4 linked regions of the Macaca fascicularis genome follow. The protein of the gene in region 4 purifies or fractionates together with the protein of the main gene of each other region. This does not show direct contact. Links are inferred from orthologs where the notes say so. Each region holds a gene or a part of one and is shown on either strand. Other genes may lie near its edges. The genes, in order: CNNM2, RABGGTB, CNNM4 and PTP4A2.

Evidence for each region.
Region 1: the proteins of PTP4A2 (region 4) and CNNM2 purify together in Homo sapiens (affinity purification with mass spectrometry; 4 studies listed by BioGRID and IntAct, counting the BioPlex papers as one, with this or other methods). This does not show direct contact. The link is inferred for Macaca fascicularis from reciprocal best matches to the Homo sapiens genes PTP4A2 and CNNM2.
Region 2: the proteins of PTP4A2 (region 4) and RABGGTB purify together in Homo sapiens (affinity purification with mass spectrometry; 3 studies listed by BioGRID and IntAct, counting the BioPlex papers as one, with this or other methods). This does not show direct contact. The link is inferred for Macaca fascicularis from reciprocal best matches to the Homo sapiens genes PTP4A2 and RABGGTB.
Region 3: the proteins of PTP4A2 (region 4) and CNNM4 purify together in Homo sapiens (affinity purification with mass spectrometry; 6 studies listed by BioGRID and IntAct, counting the BioPlex papers as one, with this or other methods). This does not show direct contact. The link is inferred for Macaca fascicularis from reciprocal best matches to the Homo sapiens genes PTP4A2 and CNNM4.

Annotation. Positions count from the first base shown.
Region 1 is NC_088383.1:111,947,131-111,954,550, reverse strand, and holds the start of CNNM2 (metal transporter CNNM2), read right to left. Parts: upstream 4,010-7,420; 5' UTR 3,832-4,009; coding exon 2,211-3,831; intron 1-2,210.
Region 2 is NC_088375.1:158,879,323-158,886,885, forward strand, and holds the start of RABGGTB (geranylgeranyl transferase type-2 subunit beta), read right to left. Parts: upstream 4,043-7,563; 5' UTR 3,972-4,042; coding exon 3,969-3,971; intron 3,158-3,968; exon of another isoform or gene 3,079-3,157; intron 2,744-3,078; coding exon 2,636-2,743; intron 2,352-2,635; exon of another isoform or gene 2,268-2,351; intron 1,063-2,267; coding exon 865-1,062; intron 747-864; exon of another isoform or gene 674-746; intron 283-673; coding exon 177-282; intron 1-176. UniProt on the Homo sapiens protein: Catalyzes the transfer of a geranylgeranyl moiety from geranylgeranyl diphosphate to both cysteines of Rab proteins with the C-terminal sequence -XXCC, -XCXC and -CCXX, such as RAB1A, RAB3A, RAB5A and RAB7A.
Region 3 is NC_088387.1:1,804,113-1,810,924, reverse strand, and holds part of CNNM4 (metal transporter CNNM4), read right to left. Parts: intron 3,239-6,812; coding exon 3,095-3,238; intron 2,756-3,094; coding exon 2,621-2,755; intron 1,238-2,620; coding exon 1,068-1,237; intron 725-1,067; coding exon 628-724; intron 1-627. UniProt on the Homo sapiens protein: Probable metal transporter. The interaction with the metal ion chaperone COX11 suggests that it may play a role in sensory neuron functions. May play a role in biomineralization and retinal function.
Region 4 is NC_088375.1:203,093,556-203,100,917, reverse strand, and holds the start of PTP4A2 (protein tyrosine phosphatase type IVA 2), read right to left. Parts: upstream 4,609-7,362; 5' UTR 4,263-4,608; coding exon of another isoform or gene 4,239-4,262; intron 4,057-4,238; exon of another isoform or gene 1,909-4,056; intron 402-1,908; coding exon of another isoform or gene 296-401; intron 1-295. Other genes in the region: uncharacterized protein, read right to left, coding at 296-401, 4,239-4,262.

The sequences.
Region 1 (7,420 bases), on a different chromosome or scaffold from region 4:
TTCAAGGTCAATCAAGCACAAATTTCAAAATAATACAAATTTTGAAATTTTGAGTAGGGACAGGATTAAGGAGCTGTGAGGTGAAAAACGAAATTCTCAAGGTAAAAAGATACAGAAGTGAAGAAAAGACTTCAGCAAGAAGTACAAACTAGTGTCATCAATTCATGAGTAAATGTGCAAAATTCTAAGTAATAAAAAACTCAAGCAATCACTCACCTGTATCAATATTGGGGAATTTAGCAATAGAAAGACTTTTAGGGGCATTTCCAAACATTCCAACATATCTTTCTGTATTACAGACATTACTGCAAAATGAAAGAAGTTAGATGCTCTAATTAACAACTTAATGGTGAAAGAATGACACCCCCAAAAGAAGCTATGTCACCTAGAGATACTGGACATTTTCTTTTTACTATTTAAGAAACCAGAAGAACCTCCTGCTTTTAAATGCAAATTTACCAATCTTCAAAACACATTCTGCTCTTTTCCTTTGTATAAAAATTACTGCAATGTGGCCGGGCGCGGTGGCTCACGCCTGTAATCCCAACACTTTGGGAGACCGAGGCAGGCGGATCATGAGGTCAGGAGATCGAGACCATCCTGGCTAACATGGTGAAACCCTGTCTCTACTAAAAATATAAAAAATTAGCCGGGCATGGTGGCAGGCGCCTGTAGTCTCAGCTACTTGGGAGGCTGAGGCAGGAGAATGGTGTGAACCTGGGAGGCAGAGCTTGCAGTGAGTGGAGATTGTGCCACCGCATTCCAGCCTGGGCGACGGAGCGAGACTCCGTCTCAAAAAAAAAAAAAAAAAAAAATTACTACAATGAGATCCTGTTCTAAAGAGGGCATCATTCAACCAGAAAAACGGAATTAGGACAACCATATGCTCTTTGAGTATGTTCAGATCATCATATCCAGTGAGCTGTCACTAGGTACATATCACCTTCTTCAGAGGAGAGACTACTACCAGTGATCAAAATTCTATTTGAAGAAGGAAAACTTGGTTTTGAGGACTATTAGGTCACGAAAGTTTACATACACATTTCAGTACCCGCACATGCACTAGCATCATAATAATTCAAAAACTCAGCATCCCTTGGTTTTCAAATAACACTATTTGAAATAGTGGAAACATTTTACTGGAAACATTCAGAACTTCAATAATAATAGTACAAGTTGCTATTTACCTGTTCATTATATGGTCAAGCGAACAAATACCACAATGCAAGAAATGATGTGTTGTATAATTTCTCACCTTGGAACAGTGAGAGTTGACGGAGACATACTTCAGTTTAATGTATCGGATGACCAAGGTGGAAAAAAAGAACACTTAGACTGAAAGAGTCAAGAAATAAATAAGCCCCAATAGAGGGATTCATCCCACTGTTAAAGGTGCAAGCTTTCTGCCAAAATCACACTTGGTTTGGGCAACTGTAACTATTGTCAGATAAACGTAAACAAATAGTGAAGAAGGCTACGGGACATACAGCCTCTTCACAAAAGGCTGGCTAACCGCTAGTCTTTCCAAGTTACATATTAGTAATTTTAATTTAAAACAACAACAACAACAACACTTTTCTAGCTAAGAGAAGTCACATCGAAAATGGGTGATTTTTTTGGCGATACTTAGTTTACCCCGCCCCTTACCCTCAAAGGCAGACCTCAATCTTCCCCGTAAGTTGCCAGGCAAGCAGGAACAGAAGCTATAGAAAATGTACTTCGATCTTTGAAAGGCCAGTGTGGATGTTTAAGGAGAAGGAAAACGACTGCACTGAGTTTACAAAAGCTATTTACATGTTTTCCAAATGCCTGTGATTAAAGTCAACCAAATGGCATGGCATCAGCCAGCCCCTACCTTCACCTACCCACTGAGAACCCAGACAATGAAGGCGGCAGACCCCTCAAGCACAGAGGCCCCACACACGGAACCAAAAAAAAAAAAGTGTCATGCACAGAAATTACACAGCCTGCTTTTTGATAATGGTAAAAAGTAAGTGATGGCAGTCTTGTGCTTTAAAATAACCTAGTAGCACTTACTAGTTCAATCCATCCCCAAATCCACGCCACCCTTTCAACTTTGCAATTAAGAGAGAGAAGGAGAAATCCCGGTCAACTCGCCTTGGGGGGTTGGTCTGAGGGTAGAGGGCTCAAGTAGGGAAGAGGATGGAGAGAGAAAGAGCAAGCCAATGAAAGAGACCAAAATTTCCCACCTTTCTTAAATTCTTCCAGCATAGCGTCCAACTTGGTGTCATTGAAAACAAAGTGCAAGGGGTGGTTATAAAATTTGGTGATGGTTTTCAGGGGAGTACAGTCATCTGGATCCACGAAGGCCAAGTCTTTGACGAACAGCAGGTCCACGATATTGGAGCGCTCCCCTTCAAACACTGGAATGCGGGTGTAGCCGCTCTCCATGATCTCAGACATGGTGTTGAAATCCAGGATGGCTTCGCCAGTGATCATGAAGCAGTCCCGGAGTGGGGTCATCACGTCCTCCACCGTCTTGGTGCGGAGCTCCAGCGCCCCTTGGATGATGTTCAGTTCCTCCTTAACGAGGTCGTTGTAGGGGTCGGTGACCCGGAGCATCTCCAGCAGTTTTTCCCGGTTATAGACGGTGCCTATCTCCTGGCCTAGGACGCAGTCCAGCAGCTTGCTGACCGGGTAGGAAGCGGGGAAGGTCATCATCATGAAAAACTTGGTGAGGAAGATGGTGTTGGCCCCCACAGCCAGGCCGTGGCGGGAGCAGATGGCCTGGGGCACTATCTCCCCGAAGATGACGATGCCGATGGTGGAGACCACCACGGCCACGAGGCCCGAGCCGGCGATGTCGTCGAGCAGGATGGTGAGCGTGGTGTTGACCAGCACGTTGCCCAGCAGCAGTGAGCACAGCAGGTAGTTGCCTTGCCTGCGCACCGGCTCGATGCGCTTGGCGTAATTCTTCTCCTTCTCCGTGCCGCAGTTCTGCACGATGCGCAGCTCCATCGGGTCCAGGGCCATGAGCCCCAGGTTGAGGCCACTGAACATGCCCGACAGGCACAGCAGCAGCGAAATGAAGATCACCTGCAGCCAGAAGGGCAGCAGGAATTTCTTCTCTTCGCCTACGATCATCTTGGTGTCCTCGCCGTCGTGGTAAATCCAGGTGGTCTCGGCCCACGGGGGTGGCGGGAGCCCGGCCACCCCCGAGCCGCCCTTGCCCCCGACGGTGCCACCCGCGGATCCCGAGCCGCCGGCACCCAGGGCGGGCGTGGAGAGCGACGTGCACAGGTAATAGGACTTGCTCTTCTCCATCTTGCGTAGCGGTTTGATCTCGATCTCGATGATGCCCGAGGTGCGGCGGTTGAGAATGATGTGGGGCAAGATGATGATGTCTGAGGTGCGGATGCCGCAGCGCTGGGGGCCGCTGTCCGGCTCCGGCGGCGCGGGGCCCCCCAGCCCGCGCTCCCCCGGGCTGTGGCGCCGCCGCTCGTGTTCGGTGAAGGCGATGCGGGACCACGTCTCGTTGTTGATGTTCTGCCCGTACACCCGCAGCTTGACCCGGGTCCGTTCGCTCACCCGCAGCGCCCCCCCTTCCATGAACGACACGTCGTTCGTGTCCTCCAGCCGCAGCCCGATGATCACCGTCTCCTCGTTCTCGCCCACCGCTGCGCAGCCGCCCGCGCCGCAGCAGCAGCTCAGCAGGAGCAGCGGCAGCAGCCGCCCCGCAGCCGCCTGCAGGACCCCCCGGCCGCGGGCGCTGAGGCTGCGGCGCGCCGCCATCTTCCAAGTGGGCAGTGCGGCGGCTGCCTGCCCGCCCGCCATCTTTACTTTGGGTTCACAAGCGCCACAGCCAATCATAGGGTGGCTGCTCCAGCTGCGGCTTCATCCTTTCCACCCGGCGGCGCGAGCGCAGGTACCTGCCCCTGGGCGAGACTGCAACTGAGCGTCCGCGGCCAGTGCTCAGCAGTTCGCCTCCCTGACTGACACTGACTCGACCTCGGCCAGCTGAGGAACCCCGAGGCTCGCGGGAGGGGACAGAGGGAGGGAGAGGAGCGCCGGCTGCTCCCGCGAGAGGCAGGCCCACTGGCCAATCACAAGCGGGCGCCCGCCCTCCCAGCCAGGGGGCTGGAATGGGGGCGTGACCGTGTGCCGTTCCGCGAACCAATGGTAAGGTAAATGGGTGGGGCGATGAGAGCCACCGTCCCCCTCTGCACGCCAAGTTTCCAACTGAAAGGCGCGTGACTCTTGTGTATGTGCGAGGGGAGGGGGCGTGGCCAGCTGGGACTCGAGAGCCAGTCAAAGATGAGAGTTGTAGGAAAGGGGCGTGGCCTCCGTCCTGCTGCCAATGGGAAGGAGCCGTCCCCGGGGCCCGCGCTCCCCGGGGGACCCTGTAGTAGATCCGGGAGCCTGGACCGGCCGGGCTTGGACTAAAGCCCTGCGGCGCAAGGCGGCAGGTTCCCGATGCACTGGCTTGCTGGCTCTGCAGTTGTCAGTTCGTGGGCAGAAAGCCGCAGCGCCCTCCTGCCCCGGGGGCCCGAGAAGCCAACTAGAGGCGGCTTGGGATGCACACAGCCTAAAAAGCCGGGGCACCGGCCGCTGTCCCCAACTCTACGTGCGCGGCGCTCCGCTGGGGTAAGCGGCGTCGGTGGCCCCGGCACAGCTGCCGACCAGCAGTCCTCGCGCCTCAAGACTCCTAGGGTACGCGCTCTCTGCGGCTCGCGATCACATGGCGCCACCTGCGGGCCGCAGGAGCGCCCTGCAACGCTTTCCAGGTCCGCGGCATACCCCGAAAGGTGTACAGAAAGTTACGGATGGCGCGGTCAGAGGGACAGTTCCCCAAATTTGCTAGTCATAGAACCCCTACATATTATTACTAAAAGTATATACTTCCTAGACCCTTTTCCATATTTACAGAGTGGGAAGGGCCCCGAATCTGTATTCCCAACAGGAACCCAGGCAAGTTAAGGAAATGGGAGGGCGGCAAGCATCCTATCCTAAGCAGACCCGCAGAGGCTCATTCTTAATCACACTGGCCAAACTCTGCTAGGGTCATAGGTCACTCAAGAGCAAAAAGTTCTGGAAACCTAGCTCCCCAGTACTCCCAGCGTCACCTGGAGGTGACGAGGTAGCAAAGTAGCTGTCAAATTGATCTTTTCCTTGAAACTTAAAACATTAAAAATGTTTAATGTTTCTCTACCTCTTTTGTATTCTACAAGCACATTCCGGCCCCCCCCCCCCCCCCCGCCGCTTTTATAAATGCGTCAAACGTCTCTGATTAATTTCTGGTATGAGTAATTTCTGGAATGATTGCAGTGGCCTCCTAACTGATCTTCCCTCTTCGACACCTGCTCCTTTCCCTTCTTAACCCAGCAGCAAGTGATCTTGTCCATGAGATTCTGTATCTCTCTTGGCTGAAACGCCTCCACTGGCTTCCCATCTCATCCTAGTAGGCTCAAAGGTCTGCTACCTCTCGTTACTTCTCGGACCTCATCACCTGCTGTTCTCCTAGTGGAAGGAGACAGATAATAAGCCAAATTAATTTCTCTCCAAGCTGTTTCTCCATCACTCCAGGGATTTTCCCCTGCGAGACTTTGCACTTGCTGTTTGTTTCCTGGGCTTAAGATGTCAGCATAGCCTTTTTCACCTCCTTTAGTGCTTTGCTCAAAAGCCATCTGATTTTAAACTTGTGGAAAACACTCCCTCTATGCCGCATCTACTTTATTTTTCTTCAAAGCAAAGATCGCTTTCTAATACACTATGTAAATTATTGATTTGGTTTGTTATCTGTCTCCTTCCACTAGAACTTAAGCTCCCTGAGGGCAGAAAGTGTGTCTGTTTGTTCACTGCTGTATCACAAGGGCCTAGAATAGTAGATATATAGATATAGATATGTCATATACATATGTATTATATTTATATATATATATATATATTTTTTTTTTTTTTTTTTTTTTTGAGAGACAGTCTCACTCTGTCACCCAGGCTGGAGTGCAGTGGCACGATCTCAGTTAACTGCAACCTCCGCCTCCTAGGTTCAAGGGATTCTCTCCTGCCTCAGCTTCCCTAGTAGCTAGGACTACAGGCATGCACCACTATGCCCAGCTAATTTTTGTATTTTCGGTAGAGATGGGGTTTCACTCTATATTGGCTAGGCTGGTCTCAAACTCCTGGCCTCAGGTGATCCACCCACTTGGGCCTCCCAAAGTGCTGGGATTACAGGCGTGAGCCACCATGCCTGGCCCTAGATATTCTTTATTCTTTTCAAAAAAACAAAAAACAAGGTCTCACTCTGTCATCCAGGCTGGAGTACAGTGGCACAGTCATGGCTCACTGCAGTCTCCACTTCCTGGGCTCAGCCTCCCAAGTAGCTAGGACTACCAGCACACGCCACCACATCTGCCTAATTTTCTTTTAATTTTTAGTAGAGACAGGGTTTTGCCATGTTTCCAGGCTGGTCTCAAACTTCTTGCCTCAAGAGATCCTCCTTCCTTGGCCTCCCAAAGTGCTGGGATTACATGTATGAGCCACCATGCCCAGCCAATGATAGATATTCAAAACAATATATGTAGAAGGTTAAATAAGTGAAAGTATTTATTCTGATTATTTTAAACAATGCCCTGAATCTAGTTTCCAGCCCTTCCATTTATGATGCTGCTTCCCCTACCCCAAGTCTCATACTGCTATATTTGAAAAGTAAGTTCAGATGAAGAAAACCACCTACAGGCTTGGCATGCATTTATATGAATGGCATTATGGAAGTTTCGAAGGAAAAAAAAATTATTTAAGAATATTTGGCAAAGGTTAAGGACAGACATGATCCTTCTAACTTAGTGGATTGAAAATGAAACCATTTTAACTTCATAAAAAGTGGAAATATTACAAATGTTTTTAAGGGAGCTAAGAGAGAAGACAGGCTCTCAAATGCTGAAAGTACACGTGTGGAATAGGAGTGAAGTGTGGGGAGGAGGAGCTTGCCAACCCTACAGACATCTCCTGTGCATTTCAGAGAAAGCTACAACAGGAAAATGTGACATTCAGCAATTTCGAAGCAAGTTAGAAATTCAGGACTTCATAGAAGAAAAAGGTCAGAAAGGACACCCAGACAACTTACAATATTTAAAAAAAAAAACAAATCTCAAATTCACACGAAGGGTTGCTGAATGATCCTGGGTGGTTGGTGGGGGTTATACTCTTCATGTATACTCAAGACACACAGAACAATCTAGATGCCTAAGCCAAGTAATTGTTCCTTAGCAAGAGGGATCTTCCTTCAAGTTTGAAGGCTTTTTGGCTTCAGGAGTTTCTCTCTCTCTCTCTTTTTTTTTTTTTTTTTTGAGACAGAGTTTCGCTCTTGTCGCCCAGGCTAGAGTGCGGTGCAGTGGCATGATCTCGGCTCACTGCAACCTCTGCCTCCCAGGTTCAAGCAATTCTCCTGCCTCAGCCTCCC
Region 2 (7,563 bases), about 44 Mb from region 4:
GTATGCTGATATAACTACCACAGTGCATGCTGGAAGTTCCAGCAGACCATTAACTCCAGTTAGACCAGCTGCTTAGTGGGACCTGAAAAGATGAAAAACTTATAAACTGGTTACTAGCAAAACCAGTACACTTTAATATTGGTATTTTGGGTAGAATGGACTAAATCTGACATTACCCCAAATATCTCCAGCAAAAGAACCATCTTCTTTCTGTAGACCTTTAACATATTCCACAACTTTATTTACGTCGATAACATTAATACTGTCATACAGTGTAAGAATCTGCAATAAAGACAAGTATTAGGTAAATACCCCTTTCAGGTTTATTCTAATCTTATGCTCAACTCTTTTTAAGTTGCCAAGCGCTCCTTTTGTCTCTGTATATAGCCTTTTCTCAAATATGCAGACTCTCCTATTATTCAATAAAATTACAGATATTATCAAAACTCAAATCTTTAAAGTATAATTTTTCTACATATAAACTTTAACTTGGCATTCCAAGATACTCAAATGTACTAACTCACATACACACAAAGTCCTGATCTTCCCATCTCAGCACCCAGCACCAGAAAGACTTTAAACCAGGTAGATGTTCACTAATACCAAAATCAAACAGATCCACTTAGCTATTTAACAGTATTTACACATACTGAAGATAAAAATTTTACCCTGCAAGGTCTCAGTGTAATTTTAGAAACTCACATCAACTTTGGATTCAGCTAATACATGCCATTACATCATTGACCTTGTAGGACAGCTTCACTTGTAACAAAACTTTTTGACCAAATCCTAATAGTTTCAATTTCCAACTCTGAAGTAAGAGAACACACTATCAAGATCATTGCAATTTTAATTAGTATTTACCTGGACAGCACTAAGAGTGTATAAAAGATGAGGATCATGTCCGATACTAGCACTTATTCCACCACATTCGTGTTGGCAAGACTTAATAAATGCCAGAATCTCTTCTCTATTCATGCGATGAAGTTGTCCCATGAGATCCATTACTGTCAGACCCCAATAGATGCCACTCATTCTTAAATACTCAGACATACAGTATTCCTAAAATAATACACAATTCTTAAATGTGTCAATTTGAACTGAAAACAGGTTATAAAGAGATCAAACACAAAGGTAACTTATTAGCCATGCTGCTATTTTTACCTCTCCTGACCTTAATGGCACTAATCAGTATTGAGTTTAAAATTTGTGCCGCTCAACGTTAGAGGCCATCTTCAGACACAACTATTAATCACAAAAAAAACAATTATCTGAGAAGCACAGGATTAGTTCATCTATGGCTGACAATACAAACAGGGCTTTAGTTTCTCCCATGAGCCAAAGACAGAAAAGCATCTACCTTTTTCATCAGTGAAGTTCAGGGACAGTATTTCTTTCCGAGTACCTATACCATATTTATCGGACATCTATTTTAATGTGGACTCTGTACAAAACTTACTATCTATTAGGAAATTATATAACTTCATGAAAAATCAAAATGCCGTAAACATTCTAAAGATGTCTACGCCCAGATAAAACAGTGGCTAATCAATGATAGATGAAAATTAGTATTAGGATTCCAGAAACAAATTTTTCCCACACTCAACAATGCATTACATTTTAAGAAGTTTTGTGGCTGGGTGGTGGCTCCTGCCTGTAATCCCAGCACTTTGGGAAGCTGGGGCAGACAGATCACTTGAGGTCAGGAGTTTGAGACCACTCTGGTCAACATAGCAAAACTCTGTCTCTACCAAAAATACAAAAACTAGCTGGGCGTGGTAGAATGCGCCTGTAATCCCAGCTATTCAGGTGGCTGACTTAAGCCCAGGAGGTGGAGGTTGCAGTGAACCCAGATCGCACCACTGTCCTCCAGTCTGGGCAACAAAGTGAGGTTATACCTCCCAAAAGGAAAAAAAGTTTTTTTTAACAGGTGGTACATCTTAATTTGCTACTAACCCAAATTCAGGGCATAGATAGCAGATAAAGGCAGAAACGAGTCCAGCCCCATCCATATGGCCTTAACTCCATGATTGCTACTAGAGTATTTTCAACGTTGCTACTAGAGTATTTTCAAGGTTATGGGAACCTAACACTTAAGTAAAAAATTAATACATACATCCCACAAATAGGTAGATAAGCTTAAGACAACTGAGTTTGGATACTACAGGGAAAAACATTTACTTGTAACTAAGTTGTTTACTACTTTTTGCTCAGATCGTCCCAGAGAGTTTTCCTTGAAATTTAAAAATTTAAGGTAAAACCTTTTCAAGGTCTCAGAGTAATTCTAGAGCTAAAGTGTTATTACACATCAGCAATAGATTCAGATAATACATGCCAAAACATCATTGACCTTGAAAGTATTACTTCTAACTACAAAAAGGGAAACCCGTTTTGTACCTCAAACCCTTATCTACTTTGGCAAGCCCTCTCAGTATAGGTGAATACTGCGATTCTAATAAGCCCACAATCTCAGACGTCCAAAGCACACTTAACTGAAGTTCAAAGGCACAGGAAATCCTCAGTTCTCTGCATGGAGTTGGATGCCATTTTAAGACATAAAATATAAATACTGTATCACCGCTTATGACTGTCACACTTCTTTAAAATAAACTTTCCAACATAAAATCATACATACATAATCATCTTTCTTTGAGCCATAGGATGCGATATAATCTGCATGTTTCTCCAATAATAGGGTGTCTGGTGCATCTGACTTGATAATAACATCCTTCTGTGGAGTGCCCTTTCAAAATAAAAAAGCAGTAATCTATCAATGTTTACCTCTACAATGTTCTTCTGCCCCACAGCACAGATTCAACATACATCTCAATTTTCACTTCGTTTAATCTTGTAATAGGAAAATGTTCCATTTAAAAATTGTAACTAGGGAGGCTGAGGTAGAAGATCGCTTGAGGCCAGGAAATTAAGGCTGCAGTGAACTGAGGTTGTACTACTGCACTCCATCCTGGGCGACGGGAGACCCTGACTCAAAAACAAAACAAACAAACAAAAATTCTATCTAACAAAAAAGAACTTAAGTCATTCGAGCTCCATCTTAGTCACGATTCAGGTAATTTTCAGGTCTCAGAGTAATTCTAGAGCTAAAGTATTAATAATCAACTTTAGATTCAGAATACATGCCAGCTCATCATTGACCCAAAAAATTACCACCAGCATTGCTTGTTGTTCACTTTTCATTCAAAAAGGTAAGTAAAAAATAAACACCATAGAATATCAAAGCTTATCATTTCAGGACAATTTACGGTTTACATGTGGCAGAGAGCATATATACATATTTTTTTATCTAACTGGCCCTTAATTTGCAAGCGAATTTTTGCTTATCAAATGCAGGTTTCAAAGCACCTTCTAAATACCCCAAAAGTTGTTCAAATGTATTAAATAAGTAGTTCCTTTAGCTCCATCTTCTCCACCTTTAATCCGAGTCTCTGTATTTGCATAAGTCCCCATGTGATGTGGCTCTAGTTCTTTTCGTATCTTTATCTTCCTCATTGAGAGTACACAGTAGTCATAATAATAGGTCATGAAGATTACCGGAAGTGATTAAGTACCGAATTTTCCTCTGATCCCACTAAAAATCTTAAAGCGAGACCACATCACTAACGATTTTAAAGAAATTTTTGACATCCCCCCTCCAAAAAAAAAAAAAAAAAGCCACCAATCAGCCCCAGCTTTTTAGAGGGTTTAAGAAATCGGGCTGCTCAACTCTAACAGGCCCTCCCTACAGAAGGCCTGGATAAAATCAGAAGCGGCATTGCCCGCGAGGTCTGCAAAAAATGCTGAGTAATATTTCACACTCAAAAAATCTTCAAGGCCTGTGTCTTAATCATTCTCCAGCACCAGGAAACCAATCCTAAGGTGACCAGTGTGCTTAACCCTACTCAACCCTACCCTACCCTACCCTGTCTGCTACCAACCCATCAGGACAGCTGCGGTTGACTCACACTTACCATGTCTAACAGGGAAAAGAGAGAGCAGGGTCAGTTCCTGGGTATACTTAGGAGCCCGGCGCCTGCGCAGATGCGCCACTCAGGCCCCCATGGCGCTCCGATATAGCTGACCACACTTTCGCCTGCAAGGCAGAATAGATCCACGGCTGCCGTAGGACCCCACTGATGGCTCATAGGTGTCTTCACTGCCTGCGTTCAAAGTCCCGCGACCATATTCTTGTCCCAAAGTCCCTCCGATTTGTCCAGAAACAGTTTTAAATAATATTTAAATATTTGAGTTGCTTTTAAGAAATCATTTGTTCCTGTTGGACGTGGTGGCTCACGCCTGTAATCCCAGCACTTTGGGAAGCCGGACAGCAGGATTGCTTGAGCCTAGAAGTGTAACCACCCAATATTGGGGTTCACTCTGCCTGCTGCTGTCGGGGAGCCCATTTATCAAGACAGGGGAATTGCAATGGAGAAAGAGTAATTCATGCAGAGCCTGCTGTGCAGGAGACTGGAGTTTTATTCTTACTCAGTCTCCCCTACTAGTCATCAGAGTTTTTAAAGATAATTTGGCGAGTAGGGGCTTGGGAAGTAGGGAGTGCTGATGGGTCAGGTTAAAGATGGACTCATAGTGGGTAGAAGTGAGTTTTTCTTGCTGTTTTCTGTTCCTGGGTAGGATGGCAGAACTGATTGGGCCAAATTACCAATCTGGGTGGTTTCAGCTGATCCATGGAAAGCAGGGTCTGCAAAATATGTCAAGCACTTATCTTAGATTTTACAATAGTGATGTTATCCCCAGGAGCAATCTGGGGAGATTCAGACACTTGGAGCCAGAGGCTGCATGACCTCTAAACTGTAATTTCTAATCTTGTAGCTAATCTGTTAGTCCTGCAAAGGCAGACTGGTCCCCAGGCAAGCAAGCAGTTTTTTTGGGAAAGGGATATTAACAATTTTGTTTCAGAGTCAAACAATAAACTGAATTCCTTCCTAAGTTGGTTCAGCCTAGGCTCAGGAATGAACAAGGACAGCTTAAAAGTTAGAAGCAAAATGGAGTCGGTTAGGTCTGATTTCTTTCACTGCCATAGTTTCCTCAGCTATAATTTTGCAAAGGCAGTTTCAGGAGATCCACACCAGCCTGGGCAATGTTGCAAGACCCCGGTCTCTACAATTAATAAAAATATGAGCCAGACGTGGTTGCCCAAGCCTGTGGTTTCAGCTACTGTGGAGGCTGAGGTGAGAGAATTACTTGAGCTCTGGAGTGGGGGGTGGAGGCTACAGTGAGCGGTGATCATGCCACTACACTGCAGGGTGTGAGACAGAACAAGACCCTGTCTCAAAAAAATAAAAATAAATAATTTGTTCTTGAGGCCCTTTGCACTCTGAAAATCTGAAATGGCTGTTAATTAGTAGAGTGCCTGTTTGCACATAGTAAGTGTTCAATGAATCTTTTTAAAATGAATATTAATGAAATGTTCACATTTCCTTCCTGTTTGTCTTGTCCATCTCAAGGTCCAGCCCTATACCCGCCCCCCCCCCCACAAACACAGACCACCCTCCCCCCACCACCACGACCACCACAAACACTTCTTCAGAGAGTGCTAATAGTAAAAATATTGGAAGTTACTTTTTTTTTTAAATTGCACTTTAAGTTCTAAGGGTACATGTGCACACTGTGAAGGTTTGTTACGTGGGGATACATGTGCCAGGTTGGATTGCTGCACTCATTAACTCATCATTTACATTAGGTATTTCTCCTAATGCTATCCCTCCTCCTGCCCCCCACCCCATGACAGGCCCCAGTGTGTGATGTTCCCCGCCCTGTGTCCAAGTGTTCTCATTGTTCAGTTCCCACCTATGAGTGAGAATATGTGGTGTTTGGTTTTCTATTCTTGTGATACATTGCTCAGAATGATGGTTTCCAGCTTCATCCATGCCCCTGCAAAGGACATGAACTCATCCTTTTTATGGCTGTATAGTATTCCATGGTGTATATGTGCCACATTTACTTAATCCAGTCTATCATTGGTGGACATTTGGGTTGGATCCAATTCTTTGCTATTGGGAATAGTGCCACAATAAACATATGTGTGCATGTGTCTTTATAGTAGCTTGATTTATAATCTATTGGGTATATGCCCTGTAATGGGATCACTGCGTCAAATGCCATTTCTAGTTCTAGATCCTTGAGGAATTGCCACACTGTCTTCCACAGTGGTTGAACTACTTTGCACTCCCACCAACAGTGTAAAAGTGTTCCTATTTCTCCACATCCTCTCCAGCATCTGTTGTTTCCTGACTTTTTAATGATTGGCATTCTAACTGGTGTCAGATGGTATCCCATTGTGGTTTTGATGTGCATTTCTCTAATGACCAGTGATGATGAGCATTTTTTCACGTGTCGGTTGGCTGCATAAATATCTTCTTCTGAGAAGTGTCTGTACATATACTTTGCCCAATTTTTGATGGCATTTTTTTTTTCTTGTAAATTTAAGTTCTTTGTAGATTCTGGATATTAGCCCTTTGTCAGATGGGTAGATTGCAAAAATTTTCTCCTATTCCGTAAGTTGCCTGTTCACTCTGATGGTAGTTTGTTTTGCTGTGCAGAAGCTCTTTAGTTTAATTAGATCCCATTTGTCTATTTTGGCTTTTGTTGCCATTGCTTTTGGTATTTTAGTCATGAAGTCCTTGCCCATGCATATGTCCTGAATGGTATTGCCTAGGTTTTCTTCTAGTGTTTTTATGGGTTTAGGTCTAACATTTAAGTCTTTAATCCATCTTGAATTAATTTTTATATAAGGTATAAGGAAGATATCCAGTTTCAGCTTTCTACATACGGCTAGCCAGTTTTCCCAACACCATTTATTAAATAGGGAATCCTTTCCTCACGTCTTGTTTTTGTCAGGTTTGTCAAAGATCAGATGGTTGTAGATGTGTGGTGTTATTTCTGAAGCCTCTGTTCTGTTCCATTGGTCTGTATCTCTGTTTTGGTACTAGTACCATACTGTTTTGGTTACTGTAGCCTTGTAGTATAGTTTGAAGTCAGGTAGCGTGATGCCTCCAGCTTTGTTCTTTTGGCTTTGGATTGTCTTGGCAATGTGGGCTCTTTTTTAGTTCCATATGAACTTTACAGTATTTTTTTTCCAATTCTGTGAAGAAAATCATTGGTAGCTTGATGGGGATGGCATTGAATCTATAAATTACCTTGGGCAGTATGGCCATTTTCACAATATTGATTCTTCCTATCCATGAGCATGGAATGTTCTTCCATTTGTTTGTGTCTTTTATTTCGTTGAGCAGTCGTTGTAGTTCTCCTTGAAGAAGTCCTTCACATCCCTTGTAAGTTGGATTCCTAGGTATTTTATTCTCCTTGTAGCAATTGTGAATGGGATTTCACTCATGATTTGGCTCTCTGTATGTCTATTATTGATATATAGGAATGCTTGTGATTTTTGCACATTGATTTTGTATCCTGAGACTTTGCTGAAGTTGCTTATCAGTTTAAGGAGATTTTGGGCTGAGAAGATGGGGTTTTCTAAATATACACTCATGTCATCTGCAAACAGGGACAATTTGACTTCCTCTTTTCCTAACTGAATACTCTTTATTTCTT
Region 3 (6,812 bases), on a different chromosome or scaffold from region 4:
CTGCGGGGCTCTGCGGGGAAAGCCTGAGCCACTCAGCACCGGAGAGGGCACTGGGGCGGCCAGAGCGGCGCGTCCCCACACCTTCCATCACACCTCTCAGGGGGTGCCCAGTCTCCCTTCTGTCTGTCCCCAGGGCCCTTTATTCCATCGGAGCTGACCTCTAACCAAAACCCAGTAGCCGCGTCCCTCGGAAAGCCAAACCCATCTGCAGCCTGCCCTGGCAAACAGGCCCTCGCCTGGCTCCTGACCTCAGGCACTTTGGACGCCCAGACTCCCCTCCTGTCCTCAGGAGCAGGGCCCTGGGCCTTCCTCCCCACAGGCCTCCTCCCCAGGCAGACTGGTCTCCTCACCACCTCTGGACATGCCCTCCACTGCCTCCTGGCCTTTGCTCTAAAATCCCTCTCTCCTCTCTTCCCCTCCGGTTTCTGGACTCCATCCAAAGGGGCAGCTCCCTCCGCTCCTCCATACCACCCACTCCAGGCCCTGGCGGCTCCCACCTCACAAGCCTCCCTCGGCCCCAGCCAACTGGCTATGAGCTCTCGGGCCCACGCTCAGTTCTGGTGTCTGTCCACGGCTCCCCAGCTGCAGGGGGCCAGAGTGCAGCACAGACCCTGCCCAACAACTCACCAGAGGGGACCGAGGTCAGGGCCATAGTCCCATAGTAGGAAAAGGCGCCCGTCTCAAACTTCATGTTCTCCTTCCCTGCCTCCACCTCCACCTTCCCCTGAAAACACACAGGGCTGGGGTTAGAGACAGAGTGAGGGAGGAAAGAAAGGATGAGGCAGGATGGGGAGTAAGGAACAAGGGATGGTGGGGCAGGAGGAAGGGCCGGTACTGGAGCCCTGGAGAGCTCAGGGGCCTGACCTGTGGGATTAAGGGAGAGCACAGCCTCTCCTTCATCCTGTCAGGGAGAGCACAGCCACGTGGGGCAGGTGGGGCTCGAGGGCAGGCGGCAGGCTCCCCAGGCCGGGAAGCCATGCACCTCCGCAGCAGGTGGGAAAGAGGGCCCGAGGGGTGCTGCGGTGCCAGGGGGAGCAGGCGGCAGGCCCAGGGCTGAGTGGGCTCACCTGCAGGATGAGGATGAAGTAGTCGGCCGGCTTATTTCGGGTGTACAGGTAATGGCGGGCGTAGTACTTATTATGCTCATCAAACTTGAGTTCCTGAATGACATCTGGGTACTTGAGCAGCCGCAGCAGGATCTTCTCTGATATCAGGGAGGGGCTAAACTGGGGGACCTCTGTAGGAGGACAGAGAGGAGACCTTACACGGGGCTGGCCAGGTGGCCCTAAAGCTCGATCACTGTTGTGCGTCCACCCCAACCACAATAGCCGTGCTGTGATCAGACTCCCTCCCTGCTCGGCCGGCCCTCAGTTCTGTATCTCCCTGGGGAGGGAGCACGCTTGGCTTCTGACTGGATGGACCCGAGGCTGCCTGCCTGCCTGCCCGGGCTTGAACAGTGGCTCCTACAAGAATAGCACGTGACCTTGGGCAAATTATATAACCCGCATCTCAGTTTCCTCATCTGTAATATGGGGGTAAAAGCTTCACAGGGTGGTTGTGAGGGCGAATGGGATAGCACGTGGACAGCGCTTAGTATATGTGACTATAATTATTGCATCAGCATCGATATCCCACAGGAAAAATAATGGAGAGGGAATTACCATCCCTTTAGCAAGTAAGGGGTGGGAAGGAAGATTAATTGGGTGGGGTGGGGGAGGGGGCAGGGAGGGCAGAACAGAACCTGTCACCCAAGTCCCCAACGGAGCTTTGAATCAGGGCGGAAAAGAGAAATGTCTCTGAACTAGAGGTGAATTCCTGCAGGAACCAGCACACGTCTGCAGAGGGGAGGGCTGGAGAGATGAGAGCAGAGCTGGACGCAAGCTCCTCAGAGTGGGTGAGCGCACGAGGGGTTCAGCCGCACCCAGCAGACCTGCAGAAGGGGAAGGATCCCTTCTTCCCATTCCACAAGCCCTGATGGGCCTGGCCAGCCTAGGGGCCCACCTCAGTAGTTATTTTCTTTTTTGTTGTTTTTGAGACAGAATCTTGTTCTGTGGCCCAGGCTGAGTGCAGTGGCGCATTCAGAACTCACTGCAGCTTCAAACTCCTGGGCTCAAGCGGTCCTCCCACCTCAGCCTCCTGAGTAGCTGAGACCACAGGCATGCAACTGTCCCATCCCACAGCCTCCTGAGTAGCTGGGACTACATGAGGGCACCACCCTGCCTGGCTTTTGGATTTTTTGTAGAGATGGGGTCTTGCCATGTTGCTCAGGCTGGTCTCGAACTCCTGGGCTCATGCAATCCTCCTCCCTTGGCCTCCCAAAGTGTTGGGATTACAGGTGTGAGCCATAGTGCTTAGTCATTATTTCCCAAACTATTAACTATAATAACCGGGATGCTTCCTAGAAGTTTGCAGTAGCTGCCCATTAATGGCAAACGAATCGCAGGGAGATCCCCGGGGGTGGAGTAGGCACCTGGCCCCTTCCAGGGGTGGCTGTGTTGTCTCTGCACCCCTCACCTGCTGCAGCCCTCGTCCTATGAGGGGAAAGTAGCCAGAGACCCAGGACTTCTCCCCCTGTGACCGTATTTCCACCAAGACCGGAAGGTCCTCCTCACGCTCCTACCTGTGGCTAGGAAGCGATGAGCAGCCAGGAGGAGCTGCGGGGAGATTTTCACTTTGAGCTCACTGTCCGTATCCTTGAAGGCGGAGAAGTCGCGCTTGTTCTTCTCAGACACCCGCTTCCGGCTTCGGTTGTCAGCTGCCGGACGAAGAGCGTGGAAATGAGAACACAGACCCCAGAGGACTCAGGAAGAGACCCGCCCCGCAGCTCCTGCTCTCCAGCCCCTAGTCCCACGCAGGAGCAGCGGGCTCTGGCTGGCAGGTCCCCAAGGCACAGAGGCCAAGGGTGAAGGTAGCCTCCGGGCAATGCTCTCAGTAACCTGCTCCCTGCTCACCGCGGCCAGTGCAGGGCACCTGGCCACCGGGCCTCGGGATGCTAGGCCTCCTGTGTCCTGCACTATGGCCCTTCCAGCTAGGGACACCAGGCTTCGATCCAAGCAGGAAAGGGGTCCTGAGCCCTGTGGAGGGCTGGACTCACTGTACATGTCGGACTCATCCAGGATCTCCGACTTGATGATCTCCTCGATCACGTCCTCCAGGGTGACCAGGCCCAGGACCTCGTAGAAGGGGTCGCCCTCACCCTCGTTGTTTACCTTCTGCACGATGGCCAGGTGGGACTTCCCTGTGGGCCAAAGAAGCAGGTCAGACAAGAGTCCAGAGGCCAGTCATGAGACTCCCTCAACCAAAACATTAATTCTAGATGTAGGGTCATAGGTCACCAGGATGGGGTCATGGCGGTTTTTCTCTTTTGCAACTTTCCTGACATTTCTACTACAAACGGACATTGCTTTTATGAAAAGGAAAACTAAAAGTAATTTTTAAAAGCATTTCGTTAAGGACTGCTTTTTTGTTTTTCTCTTTTTTTGTGGGGGAAGGACAGGGTCTAGCTCTGTTACCCAGGCTGGAGTGCAGTGGCACAATCATAGCTCACTGCAGCCTCCAACTCCTGGGCTCAAGAGATCCTCCCACCTCAGCCTTCCGAGTAGCTGAGACCACAGGTGTGCTCCACCACGCCCGGCTAACTCTTTTATTTTTTGTAGAAATGGGTCTCACTATGTTGCTCTGCCTGGTCTCAAACTCCTGGCTCAAGCAGTCCTCCCGTCTCAGCCTCCCAAAGTGCTGGGGATACAGGCATAGGCCACCATGCCAGGCCAGGACTACTTGTTTAAATAGGATAAAAATGAGGGCCGGGCATGGTGGTTCAAGCCTATAATCCCAGCACTTTGGGAGGCCGAGGCGGGCGCATCATGAGGTTAGGAGACCGAGACCATCCTGGTTAACATAGTGAAACCCCGTCTCTACTAAAAAAAAAAAAAATACAAAAATTAGCCAGGTGTGGTGGCGGGCACCTGTAGTCCCAGCTACTCGGGAGGCTGAGGCACGAGAATGGCGTGAACCCGGGAGGTGGAGCTTGCAGTGAGCCAATATTGCGTCATTGCACTCCAGCCTGGGTGACAGAGCGAGACTCCATCTCAAAAATAAATAAATAAATAAATAAACAAATAGGATAAAAATGGCAGCACTGGGAGCGGTGGCTCACACCTGTAATCCCAGCGCCTTGCGGGGCTGAAGCAGGCAGATTGCTTGAGGCCAGGAGTTTGAGAGCAGCCTAGACAACATGGTTGTCTCTACTAAAAATACAAAAATTAGCCAGGCAAGGTAGTACACACCTATAGTCCCAGCTACTCGGGAGGCTGAGGCAGGAGAATTGCTTGAACCCAGGAGGCAGAGGTTGCAGCGAGCCAAGATCGCGCCACTGCACTCCAGCCTGGGCAACAGAGCAAGACTCTGTCCCATAAAAAAAAAAAAAAAAAAAAGAAAAAAGAAAAAAAGACCCTGCCTGGTGCCTCTTATCAGGGGCTTCTGGGACTCTTGGGGAGGGGAAAGACCCAAACTGACAAAGGCACAGAGCGGCCAAGCGCTGTGATTAGGTGGGGCAGAGACTACAGTCAGAGAGGGGCCACCCCCTCAACCCAAAGTGAGGGAAGGAGGCTGAGGTGGGACAGGACCCTCCACAGAAACCCTGTGGGGTGGTGGGTCTTCCCAGACCCGTTTTTGAAGGCCACACCCTGCTCTTATGGCCCCAACCCCAGCGAGTGGCAACAGGGGCCAGCCAAGAAGGGCCGGGTCCACAGTCTAGGTGGGATGAATCCTGTGTGCCGTGCCCTACTCGCAGGAGCGCAGGTTTGGAGCAGCCTAGGAAGAAAGGCCCCGGAAATCTGGGAAGGTCAAGTCAGGGTCTTCTGCAGGGCTTCCCCTTCACAGTCCAAGCGCCTCGCTCTGGGGACTAAAGAACTCATCCTAAATGCCCTCGGTGGAGGATGTTTGCCAGGTCTTTCAGGCCACAGAAAATCCCCCAGCCCAAGATGGGCTGTCACAACTTCTAAGGGCCTCTTAGGGAGAACAGAGAGAATGCAAGATCTCATGACTAAAGTAAAAATTCTCACAATACACCCCACGTGATGGGGCCGAGCACTGCGTTGTGAAAGCTTTTCACACACATGCCGGGGCAATGATATATGTATTTCCCACTACAGGTTCTGGTCGAAAAACGTTTAGCGCATTGCCAGACAGAGCCATGGCTGGACTCGATTGAAAATTCCCTAGTATCGGCCGGTCGCCGTGGCTCACGCCTGTAATCCCAGCACTTTGGGAGGCCGAGACGGGCGGATCACGAGGTCAGGAGATCAAGACCATCCTGGCTAACACGGTGAAACCCCGTCTCTACTAAAAAATACAAAAAACTAGCCGGGCGAGGTGGCGGGTGCCTGTAGTCCCAGCTACTCGGGAGGCTGAGGCAGGAGAATGGCATGAACCCGGGAGGCGGAGCTTGCAGTGAGCTGAGATCGTACCACTGCACTCCAGCCTCGGCGACAGAGCCAGACTCTGTCTCAAAAAAAAAAAAGAAAAAAAGAAAATTCCCCAGTATCGGCCGGTTGCTGTGACTCACGCCTGTAATCCCAGCACTTTGGGAGGCCGAGGCAGGCGGATCACGAGGTCAGGAGATCGAGACCATCCTGGCTAACACGGTGAAACCCCGTCTCTACTAAAAATATCAAAAAAAAAAATTAGCCGGGTGTGGTGGTGGGCGCCTGTAGTCCCAGCTACTCTGGAGGCTGAGGCAGGAGAATGGCGTGACCCTGGGAGGCGGAGCCTGCAGTGAGCTGAGATTGCGCCACTGCACTCCCCCTGGGAGACGACGAGAGTCTGCCTCAAAAAAAGAAAAAGAAAAAAGAAAATTCCCCAGTATCTTCCTAGAGATGAGCCAACAAGTTCATGAGATCTGTGAGGCCCTCCAGCAGGGCGGCAGCGGGCCAGGCCAGGACCCCGGGGTCTGTCCCCAGGCCTCTGTACCTGCTGTAGGCTGTCCATACAGGAGTGCCCTCGAGAAAGACAGTGCCTGGAAGGGCCTGGGCATCCAGCTAAACGATGTCACCACATGGGGATGGGAATTAAAGCAAGGCAGCTTTGACAGGCTGAGTATCCCTTATTCCTCACTGGGGAGCAGAAGTGTTTCAGATTTCTGATTATTTTTGGATTTTGGAATATTCACAGAATATACACCATTGAGCACCCCAAATCTGAAAATCTGAACTACACAACGCTCCAGCGAGCTTTTCTTTTGAGCATCATGTTGGTACTCAAAAAGTTTTGGATTTTGGAGCATTTGGGATTTTGGATTTTTGGATTCGGGATGCCCAACCTGTACCCCCTTTCAGATGGGCACCCTCTAAAAAGCCTGGTAATGCCCAGTTATGGCAGAGGATGGGGAAGACAGACAGGCCCTCACACGTATCTGGTTGGTGGCCAGGTAAAAGGGTACAACATTTCAGGGGGCCAGTTGGTCAGGATGTCACAAAATCAAGGGTTCCTAACCTTGGACTTGGAAGGTCCACTTCTAGGAACTTACCCTAGGGAGAGGCAACTTTCACAAAAGACACAAGAGAAGGGGGCTCTTGGCAACATTCTTTTTTTTTTTTTTTTTTTTTTGAGACAGAGTCTCGCTCTGTCGCCCAGGCTGGAGTGCAGTGGCGCAATCTCGGCTCACTGCAAGCTCCGCCTCCCGGGTTCACGCCATCCTCCTGCCTCAGCCTCCTGAGTAGCTGGGACTACAGGCGCCTGCCACCGCGCCCGGCTAATTTTTTGTATTTTTAGTAGAAACGGGGTTTCACCGTGGTCTCGATCTCCTGACCTTG
Region 4 (7,362 bases):
AGAGACTCAAATCACCATCTCCCAAAGTAATTATAACTGGTGGCATCCATTGTTCAACAGAGATTTAAGAACTTTAAGCCCCTAAAAGGAAAAAAAAAAAATTATTCGCTGCTCTCTATTGATAATCTTTAACCTAGATTCTAAAACCTGGGATTTAATAATCAAATCCCGGTACTTTGGGAGGCCAAGGCAAGCAGCTCGCGCCTGAGCTCAGGGGTTCAAGACCAGCCTGGGTAACATAGCAAAACTGTCTCTACTAAAAATACAAAAATTAGCGAGGCATGGTGGCACACACCTATAATCCCAGCTGAAGCAGGACAATCGCTTGAACCTAGGAGGTGAAGGCTGCAGTGAGCTGAGGTCGCACCACTGCACTCCAGCCGGGGCAACAGAGTAAGACTCTGAAAAAAAAAAACAACAACAATCAATCTATAAATAAATGTCCTTATCTGTAAAGCTAACAGAATACTACTTACAGGATTATTGAATTTTAAATGAGACAATACATGATTTGGCATAAGAAGGGAATGTGGAAACCTAAACCCTAAAAGTGTAATACTGAACTCTACCAGTACCCCAAGATCTCTACCATCACCCTATTCAATAAACATAACTAAGTCCACCATGTTAAAACTAGATTCCATCTTCTATTCAACAAATACAGCTGATGGACTAGCACCCAAATAAATTAACCAAACTTAGTTTCAGAAAAACTTAAGCTTCATTCTTCCAAGACCAAGAGCAACAGCTAAAAACGTATGCATCTGCTCCCTCTGCATCTTGTTTGTAAATACATTAGTTTTCTAGGCTTCACTGGTTACCAACCCCCACATTACAACAAAAAGGAAAAAGTATATTCAAATCCTGTAAAATAAATCCCTACTAAATTTCAACTTTGTGTCTGAAAATTGTAAAGTGTTCCTTAATTACTGCATAAGGAAATACTACCTTTATTGGACAAAATGAATAAAGTTAATTCTTAAGAAAGATAAATCCAATTTACCTTGTTTGAAATTTTTTTTCAAGTCAACTATATATGGGGCTCTCATACTATGTTTTTTCAAAGCTACACACAAAAGTATTCAAACATTTACTCTTCCTAGTGCTACAAAGTTCAATGATGTTGTAAATGGTTTCTGCCTATAAATTTGGTTTGTTCAAATTAAATATTACTTGACTGACTCACAGAGGGAGTGGCCTGACTTTTGCTGTTCTGAGTCAGAAAATACCCCGTTCAGCAGTTCGAAACTATTTCTCATCTATAAAGGTGTTCGAAAACGCCAGCCTTTTCCAGCTACAAAATCTGTTGCCTTAGTAGAAAGATCTTAGTGGCAATAATACTTCAAATCTGTAGTTCAATTTATAATTAACAAAATGCTTTCACATGTATATTCTCACTTCTTCTGATTTAAGTGTCCCACACAGCTCAACAGAGAAACTTTCATACAGTGGTTAAGCTCTAGTTCACTCTTGGCCCCAATAAATATATTCTCTTTTTTCCAAAAAATAAAACATAAAAGGCTGTTGCATTTCTTTAATCAGACTTCCCTCACGCAGACATATCCCAGATGCCTCATAAAAACTGTCTCAAAGCACACACCCAGAGCCCGAAGAGAGTTTCAAGGCAGCATCTCCTCCCACATAAAAGCCTAGCTTAGGCCCCAAAGAGCCTCCAGTCAGCATCTCCTAAATGATCCCCTTGCCTCCAGCCTTCTCTATTAGTTTCAACAGCTCTCCTAAGTACAAGCTGCTAGGTCATCATGTGGATGAGAAACCTCAATGTAAGATGAGCTATTGAAACAGCAGTATGATGTATTGGAAAAATCAACAGCTTTGGAGTCAAAGACCTGGATTTTTAATCCAGCACTAATTCTTATTATCTGTGTGACCTGGGACAAGTTACTTAACCTTTTAAGTTTCTGTATCTCTTCTTCTCACCACTGTAAATCCATGGGAGCTCATCGCTGTATCCCTAGTGCCGGGCAAACAGAAGTGGTTCAAAATAAGCCAAATGGATGCAAATGAAGAGACCACCTTTCTTGTAGTTGTGAGAATTAAATGAATATAAAAAGCACCTGTAGCACAGTAGGCAATTAACACTAATTAATTCCTTCCCTCACTGAATAGTAACAATACTATTTACTATTTCTTTCTTATTTTTTTGAGAGAGGGTCTCACTGGCTCACTACAGCCTTGACTTCCTGAAATCACAAGTTCCTCTCGCCTCAGCCTCCAGGATAGCTGGAACTACAGGCACATACTACCATGCCTAACTTTTGTATTTTCTGTAGAAATGGAGTCACCACGTTGCCCAGGCTGGTCTTGAACTCCTGGGCTCAATCGATCCTCCTGCCTCAGCCTCCCAAAGTGCTAGGATTACAGGCGTGAGCCACCGCGCCCAGCCGAAAAATATAAATTCTAACTTTTAATTACACATCAATGATTTTGCCTGTAATTCTATTATGTTCACGATCAAAAGGACCACCCTCGCGCCTGTTAATCCCAGCACTTTGGGAGGCCAAGGCAGGTGAATCAGTGGCGGTCAGGAGTTCGAGACCAGCCTGGCCAACAAGGTGAAACCCCGTCTCTACTAAAACTATGAAAATTAGCTGGGTGTGGTGGCGCACACTTGTATTCTCAGCTACTTGGGAGGCTGAGGCGGGAGATTACTTGAACCTGGGAAGCCTGGGCAACAGAGCAAAACTCCATCTCAAAAAAAAAACAACAACAACAAAAGGACCATACTACTTTTTGCTTATACTGAAAGACTACCAACTTCTAAGAGACAATTATTTTTAAGATAACATCATTTTTAATATTATATCAAAGTGTAAAATCCCTATCGAGGTACTACTCTTCATCAAGAATCCCTACTTTTACAACTCAAGAATGGGAAAAGTCCATGACAATAATTAGTCCATTCATTATGAAACTTAAAAATGCCAAGATCAGAATACCAGCAAACAACTTCTCACCATCTTCACCAATACAATGGTGTGCTGGCAAGTGATTCTGAAGCCCTGATAATGTGTCATTCTGCATCCTTAATTTCCTTTTGCACATTCGGCAAGGCATAACTTCACTCACTTCCCTCTGAAACTACTCTGTTACAGAGCATGACAGCAAGTACCATATTCCAACTCAGCAGTGGTTGTAGTTTGGTGACTCCAGACAAACATTTGCTGAATGCCTACAGTGACACTAGAACTGCGGGTCACTGCTAATTTCTTGACAAATTCCAGGAAATAATAAACTAGCCTATAGTTTAATTTACCTAACAATAAAATACTCTTCACCTGAAAAACTAGCAGTACTTTACAAAAGTTTATGCTCCTGAACACTCTACAGGCCAGAGTGTAGGCTCTTGGGCAACAGACAAACTTCTTTTCGTTAGCTCTCAGGGACCCAGACTAGGATAGGATGGCATCCTTGACAAATTTGAAAATTTACTTTGAAGTTATGAAACGTGGGAGAAAAAAAACGTATAGAACAACAACAAAAAAAACACATCACATCTTTTCTGGGGGGGAAAAAAATTAAAATCCCAGAGCCAGAAGATCATAGTGCCACTAGAAGAGACTTATACCCCCTTTCCTCATACTTGAACCTGAGCACCCAGGGACAAGATGCTCCCGGAAAGAACTCCCTAACCCAACACAGCACGGTTCACTATCGCCACACACAAAGACGAAGAGGAAGGGCCTCCAGGATGCCTGCTCACACACTGGACACACGCCGGCACACCCTGCCACACTCCCGCCTCTGCCACGCACCTTCTCACCGACACACACCATGTTCTCCCCCTACACTCGCTCTCTACCACACTCTCAACTCTCTCCTCCCCCACTTCTCATTCATGTACCCCCACCCCTCATGCCCACACGCTCCCCGCACACTCATACCCTCCCCCGCCTGCACCCACACTCCCCCAACATCGACACTGTCCCCCGACCCGCTCCCACTCCCCCCACCTCCTCGCACACTCAGCCCTGTCCCCCACTCACACGCCCTCCCTTCACCAACTCACACTCTCCCCCACGCTCGCACAGCTCTCCCCCTTCCACACACACGAGCCCGCCCCTCGCTCACCCACCCTCGCTCCCCCGCCCCGGCCCAGCCCGGCCCTCCTTCCGGGGACGTGTCTCCGGCCTGTACTAATGGCTGCAGCGCCTCCCGCCCTCCCCTTCCCCGAGGCCCCCGGCGCCGGCGCGGGGGCCGCCCGGGAGGGGCGCACTCACGCTGGCGAGCTGGGGACTGGGCATTGAAGTCCGGCGGCGGCGGGAGCGAGGAGGCGCCTCTCTCCTCAGTCACCTCGGCGGCGGCGGCGGCGGCGGTAGCGGTGGCGGCGGCGGCGACGACTCCCCCCCAGCCTCGGCGCGCGACACCCGGCCCGGCCCGGCGGCGGCGGCGGCGGCGCGTCTCCACGAGTCCGTCTTGCTGCTGCTGCTGCGGTCGCCGCTGCGTCTCCTGCTGCCGCCGCTGCCCCCGCTGCCGCCGCTGCCCTGTGGCGTCGCCTCGCGCCGTGCCCGGCCGCCGCTGCCGCTCCAGCCGCTCCCGGACGGACGACGGTTACAGCCCGGCCGATCGCGCCGCCGCCACCACCGCTGCGCGCGCAGCCGGAACCAGCTCCCGCCGCCGCCGCCGCCCCTCAGGGGTCGCTGCGGGGCGCGGCTCAATGGGCAGCTGACCCGCCCTCCGCGTTCGCTGACTGGCTGGCCGGCCGGCTCGCGGGCGGTTGGGCCCGCCCACCTGCCCCGCGGGGCTCTGACCCACTGCCCTGGGCACCTCCCCCGCTCCTCCTCCTGGTGGTTCGTTCTGCTCCGCACTCCCGGCTACGGAAGGCGAGTCCATGTGACCGGGGAGGGAAAAGCAGAACGTGGCCTGGGGAGTCGTTCGCCCACGCTGCGCCCCGCCCATCCGCACCTGGGCTGGGTCGAGGGCCTGCAGCCGAGGTGTGACCCGCAAGGTCGAAGGGTTCTTTCTCGCTCCTAGGCCGTCAGGCCTGGGGTCAGATCCTGATGGGACAGGGTGGCCACCAAGTCCTGTGCTTGGGGATTTCCAACTCAGAAGTGGGAACCCGGGCAGCTCAGTTCTTGGCTGCCCTTCCTGAGGCCCCAAATAAATGGCGTGTGCATCTTCGTGGAGGATATTAATACGCCACCCCCGGCTCTGCCCACAAGACACACACACATCCTAAGAACTGTCCCTGACAAGCCAAAATTCAGACTTTCAGGATGTAGGATCTTGGGCAAGTGATTCCCTCTCTCCAAGTATTATCAACTATAAAGTGAAAATAATAATCAGCAACCTCATGGGCGCTTTCACGATCGATAATAACGTATGAAAACGCTTGAGAAAGGCCGGGCGCGGTGGCTCATGCCTGTAATCCCAGCACTTTGGGAGGCCGAGGCGGGCGGATCACTAGGTCAGGAGTTCGAGACAAGCCTGGCCAACATAGTGGAACCCTATCTCTACCAAAAATACAAAATTAGCCGGGCATAGTGGTGCGCGCCTGTAATCCCAGCTACTCGGGAGGTTGAGGCAGGAGAATCGCTTGAACCCAGGAGGTGGAGGTTGCAGTGAGCAAAGGTCACGCCACTGCACTCCAACCTGGGCGACAGAGCCGGACTCCGTCTCAAAAAAAAAAAAAGGAAAACAAAACGCTTGAGAAAGAGGAGACCCTGAATTTCAAGGTTTCCGACTTAATGTCACCTTTAACGACGCAGATTATCATAGAGATTCTCAAGTGGAAAGGTTTTTGCCTCTTGCATTTGGAAGCTAGCCAGAAATTCTTTGCCAGATCATGCGTCCTGAGTTTTGGTTTGGAAAATGTGGTCACTAGCGAGCTGGGAGGCTGGTTTGGGCCACGGCCAGATGACAGGCAAAGTGCGGCATTGGGGGCTGGCTTGGGAGGAAGGGAGATGTCTCCCCCTGAGAATTGCGGGTTGGGGAGGGTCTGTTCTTTCTGTCCACTCCTGGGAAGTCTTGCCTGCCCAGAACTGGCTCCTATCTAGGAAGAAATGAAGATGCCCCCGTGGGTGTTTCTCCCCTACCTCACCACCACATCCATGCTCATCCAGCCCTGCGGGGAGAAGCAGTAATCTGTCATCATTAGACCTTCCCCACAAGGTAGACTTGGGGCATTGCTACTGACCAGAAGGCTTCCATTAGAGCTTAGCAGTAAAATGAAAGGTCTTATGACTCAGCCGCATCAAGCCACAGAGCAGAGTCCAGGATGTTCACCACCAGCAGGTGGCCCAGGAGGGGGTATTCTAGGGCAAAGCTGGTTAGCAGGGCTGTGTGGGAGTTGAGAGAGGCCTTGAGGAGCAAGAGGGGCTGCAGATCAGTAGCAAGGCCCCTGGGTGAGGAGCACAGACTGGGCTCACTTGCATTCTGTCTGCCTCCAGCAAGCAGTATTTTCTACTTCCTGGAAACACAGACTGATTTGAAACAAAGAGCTACCTCCTCTGCAAAACTTTTGCTGCGTCTATGAGTTATTGATTCTTCCGATAAAGTTGCAAAACACCTTGTGCAATCCTCTACCATAGCACTTAACATAATACTGTAATTGCCTGTTTTCAGACTCTCCCCCGCTTAGATGGATCTATTTGGGGCAGTCTAGCAGATTGTTTGCTTGTTTGTTTTCATCTAGTAGATTGTTTGACCAAGTAAATGACACTCCCCTCCACCTAGCTCTCCTTCTGGCCCTGAAATAAAATAGTGTAATAACAACATTAACAACATAAGGATAAGAATAATGGCCCCAATAATAGTTACGTTTACCCCCTTTTTTTTTTTTTTTGAGACAGAATCTCACTCTGTCACCCAGGCTGGAGTGCAGTAGTGCGATCTCGGCTCACTGCAAGCTCCACCTCCTGGGTTTACACCATTCTCCTGCCTCAGCCTCCCGAGTGGCTGGGACTACAGGCGCCCGCCACCACACCCGGCTAATTTTTTGTATTTTTAGTAGAGACGGGGTTTTACCGTGTTAGCCAGGATGGTCTCGATCTCCTGACCTCGTGATCAGTCTGCTCAGCCACCAAAAGTGCTGGGATTACAGGCGTGAGCCACTGCACCCAGCCTTTCTTTTTTTTTTTTTTTTAAGACAGGGTCTCACTTTGTCACCCAGGAGGGAATGCAATAGTGCAAACATGGCTCACTGCAGCCTCAACCTCCTAGGCTCAAGCAATCCTCCCACCTCAGCCTCCCAAGTAGGTGGGACCATGGGCCTATGCCACCATGCCCAGCTAATTATTTTTTTATTTTTGTAGAGATGGAGGTCTTGCCATGTTGCCTAGAACTCCTGGGTTCAAGCAATATTCCCACCTTGGCCTCCCAAAGTGTTGGGATTATAGGCATGAA